Schizosaccharomyces pombe: one gene and its partner. The protein of the gene in region 1 interacts with the protein of each later gene in a biochemical or structural test. Each region holds a gene or a part of one and is shown on either strand. Other genes may lie near its edges.

What was found. The genes of interacting proteins can lie anywhere in the genome.
Region 2: the proteins of ste4 (region 1) and byr2 form a complex in vitro, tested with the Schizosaccharomyces pombe proteins (3 studies listed by BioGRID).

The regions. Positions count from the first base shown.
Region 1 is NC_003424.3:1,294,664-1,298,374, reverse strand, and holds ste4 (MAPK cascade adaptor protein Ste4), read left to right. Parts: upstream 1-1,831; 5' UTR 1,832-1,864; coding exon 1,865-1,961; intron 1,962-2,119; coding exon 2,120-2,817; 3' UTR 2,818-3,059; downstream 3,060-3,711. Other genes in the region: protein Utp8, read right to left, coding at 1-985; SPOM_SPAC1565.03 (uncharacterized protein), read right to left, coding at 3,392-3,711. UniProt on the Schizosaccharomyces pombe protein: Essential for mating and meiosis.
Region 2 is NC_003423.3:1,740,745-1,744,505, forward strand, and holds the start of byr2 (MAP kinase kinase kinase Byr2), read right to left. Parts: upstream 1,601-3,761; 5' UTR 1,553-1,600; coding exon 1-1,552. Other genes in the region: RNA-binding protein Mlo3, read right to left, coding at 3,369-3,761. UniProt on the Schizosaccharomyces pombe protein: Serine/threonine protein kinase involved in conjugation and sporulation. It is thought that it phosphorylates the byr1 protein kinase which itself phosphorylate the spk1 kinase.

The DNA.
Region 1 (3,711 bases):
AAAAATTATCCGAAATAAGCTCTATGTGTTCAATTTTCGATATGCTTTGGAAATGAAGAATTTTAATAAGCATATAAGATTTGGACTCATCATGAAGTGAGTATATGGATAGCCCTTCGAGGGAAATCGTATATATACTTGTAGAGTCTTTAGACATCAGAATGTGCGAAGGAGCCTGAACTTCCTTTAGAACCACAGCTCTCGTATTCACGAGACGTCTTTCAGAAACTGAAAAAGAATCTACATAATATTGTATAATTTTGTCGACATGTACACTATACAATAAATATACCATGGATGTGGATGAGGTGACATTAGCGCTAAAACTGGTAGACCCTGACTTTGGTACTGAAGAAGTTGTGTCGCTGTTCATCTCGATTTCCTTTGGATTATTATTAGTGCCACTTGCTTCGTTAGATGCTAATCGTACAGCATCAATAGGATTTGCTTGTGAAGGAACATACATTGATTGAAGCAATGTGGCTGATTCGTTAACGGAGGCACTCATGTGAACTTTGTCATCTTCGGGATCGAGAAACGCAATTTTTCCGTTTCGAAATACAATCACTAGTTGACCAGTTGACGAGATGAAATGAAGAGCAAATATTTGTTGGTTGGAAATATCACGATATACAACTTCGCTTTCCTCCTCGAGGTCGTTGAACTTCCAAAGAAGTATTTTCCATTCCCCATTACTTTTAAGAGAGGTGCAGGTCCAAATATAATGCCAATTTCCTTCTTTAATGTAGATGGGTGAGCAGGAAAACCGTGTCTTCTCAGGTAGAGGACATGAAGCGAATAAGCGTTCATCCTTCATATGATAAACTTCAATTCCCTGATTTTCCACTTGAACACATATATAATAAGGAGATTCAACTCCGTTATCCAAAGCAACCGTGCCAGCACTCTGAATTTCATGCTTTTTATTCGATTTATGAATATTCGAAATTTCGCTGAGAAACGATAGTTCACCAAAAGAAGCCATTTTTACTTTAAGTTTAAACACAATTTTCTGAAACTGTGAAAATTGGCAAAATAAGCGTTTCTGAGGTTCAAAAGTTTCACACAGCACTCGGTGGAGATGAAGAGAAGAAGTTACAAAAAAAAATAATTCCTACACAGCTTTGACCTCCACAAATACTAACGAAAATAGGAATTATTGATCAGTAAAATTAAATTAAAGTATTAGAAGCAATGGTTGTTCGACGCTTGTTTTCCACTGGAAAATTTGCGTTCTTACATTCGAGTGCGGTATATCTCGTTATGATACATAAAAACTTTTTGCTCTCAAGTGCTATAACAAAACAACTTTTATTATTTAGTTTTGTCAAATAAGAAAAACAGAATTTTTTTTGTAAACTACTCTTTGTACAACAATGCTACAAAAAATTCTCTTCTCGATTGGGTTTTTTTGCTTTGAGCTTTATTCATACTTGGACAACGTACCGATGTTTGATATCAATTGTGCCTTTATTCTGTGAACTTGAAACTCTAAATTTATTGTTTACCAATTTTTCTAATATAATAGGGATAATAAAACTTTTCTTTAATAAGTGAAAAAAACTGGGCAAGTCAAATTAGCATCGGCATACATGCTCTTGTTTACGTCCCATAATTTACAGATTTTATAGCTAATCCAAATTCAAAGTCCCAAATCACATCCAAAATCACTTTTCCAATAAGATTTAAGGGTCTTATTTTTTATCATTTTTTATGCTGATTTTTGATATTGTATTTAAATTTGCATATCCACTAACTTTTGGTAAATGAGTATGCTTTCTTTGTTATAAAAGTAGTGGGCAGGTCAGCATCAGAAGCATATATATTAACTACGCCCTTTACATTGCTATCCTAAGCAAAATTAATGGGAGATTCTGACGATTTTTATTGGAATTGGAACAATGAAGCAGTTTGCAATTGGATAGAACAGCTTGGTTTTCCCCATAAAGAAGCGTTTGAAGGTATGTATGCATAACAGAAGTTTAATTCAAAGAATTATTTGCTCGCCTCTCATTAATCCTTATTGAATGCTCTTTCTTTTATAGTCAATGGGGGATTGGGAACAATGAGTTTCTCCAAAGTTGGTTCAATTTCATGGCAATTTACTAAGAATTTCTAGACTACCATATTCTTGGAAAAGACATAGACCTGTTAAGTTCAAATGATCTTCGAGACATGGGAATTGAGAGTGTGGGCCATCGTATTGACATTTTATCAGCAATACAGTCAATGAAAAAGCAGCAGAAGGATAAACTGCAGCAAGAAAATAAGGATCAAGAACTGAAAAATATAGAAGAGTCTTACAAGAAGCTAGAGGAAAAAACCGAACATTTATCAGATGACAATGTCTCTTTAGAAAAACGTGTGGAATACTTGGAAACGGAAAACACTAAATTGGTAAAAACACTAAACTCTTTGAACTCGGAATTTCTTCAGTTACTAAGAAAAATTGCCATAAATGTTAAGGAAGGAAGACAGCTTACTACCGAAAATTCATCTGACACTAGTTCGATGACTCACCCTGTTCAGCCTTCACCATCTGTTCTTGGAAGTTTTGATTTAGAGGTTAATGATTCTTTGACAAACGCGGAGAAAAACAGAAAATTAAATGTGAACTTAACCTACAATGAAGTGTTATGCTCCATGTTGCAACGATACCGAATCGATCCAAACACTTGGATGAGCTATGATTTGCTTATAAACTACGATGATAAGGAGCATGCCATACCTATGGATGTAAAGCCACTTCAACTATTTCGAAACCTACAAAAGAGGGGAAAGTCGCCTTCTTTTGTTTTATCTCGACGCTCTTGTTAACTAAGCTTTTTAAAAGCCATCTATTTATGAATTGAATTTAATGAATAGTTTTCAATTTTTTTAATGACTCATTTGCAGATATTTAAGTTATTTTACTTACGCCTTGGTATGTTTATCAGTATTTAAAGATGGATTGATTTTTTTAGCCGTACCTCCTAATATTCTATCTAATATTCTATCTAATATGCTTAAAATATATATTTTTTTTTTTATTCATGGGGTATGCCCTAAGGTTTATTAATATGATATAAATGAATCTATGGAATGTATTAAGACAATGAAAATGAACCATGTAATATAATAACAGAAAAAATTAAACATTAAATTTTAACATGCTTCAACAGGAAATGAAATGACAAAGAAGGTTAACAGCCTAAAAAAAAAATTGAAGCGTGATTAGAAATTTTTAGAAAAAAATTGTGGTTTTTTAATGAATTTGAAACCAATGATATATGCAATATGTGAAGTTCGTAAATAAGGCGCAAAATTATGCCCCGAAACGTAGTTTACTCCGTCAATAAAATATTCATCATGTTGTACTACGCTTATTTTTGTAAGCTATGTATTAACAATTTCAGACAATGCAACATGCGTTGGGTTGCTTGGAGTACACGGTGGTATACCGAAATTTGGAAGGAGACAAGTAACTCATGTTAGACAAGCTTTGTAGAAAAACACGCATTTTTGGCTGAAACCAAATTAGTTCCTTTTCGCTTGATTCGGAAGATGAATAAAAATTTGGCTGGGGTTTTGATCCCGTATGCCTATTAACAAATTTAATTTCATCATTTGTTGGTGGAGTCAGTACTTTTGATAATTTTCTACGCTTAGAGAAATGTTCATTTTTTTTTTTCTTTGAGAAAAAACGAAAATCAATTTCAAGGATTTCATCTG
Region 2 (3,761 bases), on another chromosome or scaffold:
TGCCGCGTGAATGAAGGTATTCTAAGCCTTTAAGGGTTTGCTTAATAAAGTTCTTGACTAGCGTTTCCTCAAAGCTTCCATACATTGTAAGCAATCCGGCAACCGACCCCCCAGGAACATATTCCAAAAAAATGTTCAAGTGGTCCGAATTTAAGTTAGAACCGAGATATTGGACAATATGCTCATGAGACAACTCCTGTAGAAGAGCAATTTCACCCGCTAATGCATCTAAAAGTTTGGCATGGCGGTCTTTTGATTCAGAAACAGAATCTAAGATCACTTGCTTAACAGCCATCAACTCACCACTAGATGCATTCATACCGAGATAAACTTGTCCAAACGATCCTGAACCTATTAACGCACCACGTATCCATTTGATAGACTGATCATCAGTGTCCTCTTCAAGTGTATTTGTGTCCTCACTTGTAGTGGAAGTTGGAGAAATTGGGGATGGTTGCTCAATAAATGATGGGGATGAACCAGGTGAAAAGGAAAGTACTTGATGGTTGCCATGCGCGCTTTCTGAAAAAACATTATACTTCGACGATTTTTCATTTCCGTTGGACTGGTATAAAGGTTCCACACCAACCATGGTTATGGATTTTTGAAGCGATGGTGGTCTAGAAATACGCTGAGTAGAAGATACAGTAAGTGGAGGATCAAATCCCCTATCAATCCTAGGAAGTCGGTTAACATCTTCAGCAACAGAAATCCTCAGAGAGGAAAGAGGACAAACCAATTCGGAAGGGCGAGCCCGCCGAGAGCTTCTTGGCAAAATTTCTTGACCAAAATTACCAAGATTGTGCCCTTGAGACGTACGTATGCTAAGGTTTCTACGAAGAGAGTTTGATATTGTTTTTTCCAGTAGCTTTGGTTGATGATCGGGGAAAAAATCGGAAATTCTAGAATTAATAAGCTCGCTAGGAGGTCGCTGGTAGGATTCAAATGGTTTCGCATTATTTGAGCGGACACTTCGTTTCTGAGTGCTCGTGGGAAGAACAGAGGAAAGTTTAGGAGAAAGGGAGGACTGTGATGATAATGCTGCCGGTTGAGCCAATTCAATCTCCCAAGAACGGCGGAGGTCTTCAAACGATGGACAAGGCTTTTCTTTTGGCACAATAATTAACCTGTCGCGTTCCGGTGAAGATGAATTAAAACAAATTTGTTTAAATTCTTCTTCAGTAATCAGCTTAATTCGACTACTCTGTGAAACGCATACAATGAATTTTGAAGCATCTTCAAGGCTAAACTTTTTCAAAGCAATAGCGAGTGTTTTCTGGTAATCTCCTCGTGATTGAACTGCTCGAGTTTGCCCGTTACAGGCAATAAACCTCAGTATACATGGACGTGGAAACTCTCGTAAATAGTCTCTTTGTTTTAAAAATTGTTTGCCTTTGGCGGTGTTTTCAATGCCTAGGTCTTTCAGTAAAGGCAAGGTTAAATGATTTAGGTGTCGTCCTTCAATGTTATTTTGTGAAAATTGTTCGATATACTTCTCCAATCCGATACTTTTCAACCATTCTGCTACCTCCTTCGAGGTATAATATTCCATAAATGCAGGAAAGTGGTTGTACAACGTATAACTTCTAAGTTCAAAGTTGGTAGCATTTACGTTTAACCTGCCTCCCTTAGTCTCGTGCTCTTTGACGTAACAATATAACTATACACTTTATAACCGATATTAGTTTCACTAAATCTCATTACCAAAATGAAGCTGCCAAAAAATTCGTAAAGGCTGCTTGTTTATATAGGTATTGCAATTCTCACCCGGCACAGATTCAGATATCTATTAAATAACACTTACGTACATATACGAGTTCCACAAGGAGTCTAAATATCGACGAGAAATTGTAATCAGATATTAAAATCTAAAACTTTCGTATAAACCATGTGTAGCAAGTGAATAATAATCTTTCTCTTTATCTGCAATACAAATGTCGTTAACCACCGTTCAGATACTACTGGTTTAAGGTACGAACGTAAAGTACTGTTTTAACAATTTCAATGTTTCAATCGGTTTCAGAGGACGGCAAGAATCGCGCACTAAAATTAGCAACCCGCAAATGCGCATTCTGAAAGCGATTTTTGGTTTGTAACACAATCACGACGGATCGTACAGATCTTTCAAAAAAATCAAAATTATAAGTGCCAAAAATATATGTGTGGGACTTCAATTTAAATTGTTTGATGTGACAATGGTTCGAACATAAAACCAAGCAATGTTTACCAAAACAAATTTCGAGATACGGTCGGCAATTCAACCATAACAATAATTTACAAATAATAATAAACGTCGGAAGCAAAAAAAACGGGAATGGAAGTGACTAGGGTTTAAAAGTTTCAAAAGAATGCATTGCGCGTAATTCATCAATCAGCGAGTTTAAAATGCAATCGTGGAAAAGTTCTATAAATGTGGTTTACATACAAAGGAAGGAATGAAGCCAGTTCTGTCATGTACAATTTGACAAAGATGAAATAGAGCCATCGAACGCGATGATTTTACGAATAGAAATTCCTCATCCAAACAAGCCGTGCCACATATAGTAAAACAAGACTTGGAATAAGTGTGACGTGAACCAAAAACCATCATGAACATAATAAACACAGTCAAGTTGGGGTATGGAAGCTTTGACTTTCAGCAAACATGCAATAATAAACCCTGTCGGTAAGCTCAACCCAGTATAGTTTAGCAACATGATGATCAAAACAGCTGCCTTGTACAGTAACTTAGATTAAATAAAGTAACAGTAGCCGAAGCTACCATTATCCACCTCTTTTAACCACTGTCTACATAGGTTTTGCTTTTGTATTAAACAAGAAGGGAGCGCTTATCAACCATAAAGGATTTCTGCACAAGAGCTGATAAAGTTGCAAACATAACAGGTGAACAGATATGCTAATAATGAACTCGACTCAAAGCTTAGCTTCTTGGTAGCGTTTAAGCTTGCATACTACAAATCAACAGATATGTCAAAAGTTAGCAAAAGTCAAAACCTCCAACCCAACGTTAACCACCGAAAAAGAAATAAGTAACCAAATTCGTTCGATGTCAATGAAACATATATGTCTATCAAAAAAGAGATATAAATAAAAAATTTAATGAAATTCTTTGAAATAATGGCATAATGGCAATATGACCCAATACACACCATATATACTAACAAGAACTGGTTCAGCTCACTTCTCCAAATCCATTACGAAAGACCCAAAACACAAAAACAACTTCAAGAACTGCCATTCGAAACAGCATTATATTGCCAATATTATTTAACTGAGGGAGTATGTTGTATAGGTCGTTATTAATACCAAGAAGCATTTGACATCTTCAAAATATATGTATATATAGTAGAATCTTCAAATTATTAAAGTTACTCCTTCTCATTTGATCCAAAATAATCATCCATCTCCTTGTCGAGCTCTTCGGCGGATTTTTTAGGACGATTAGGAGTTCTACGGCGGCGTGTAGTCTTCCGCTTGGAAGATTTGGCGCCATTCTTGCTAGCAGTGGCGCTAGCGTTGCTGGCAGGACTTACACGTGCAGCCAAAGAATTCAATTGACGACTAGGATCAAGGATTATCTCAACCTTCATTTTTCTAGTGCCATCAACCAAACGACCCTCATACTGTTCATAAGCTCGAGTGGCATCACCAGGACGAGAAAAAATGATAGTTGCAATACCTTTCGAACGACCGTTGGGACCGTAAGCCAAGGAAACGCGTTTGCAAGGTCCTATGGATTTCACAAAAAGCTCCTTAACTTG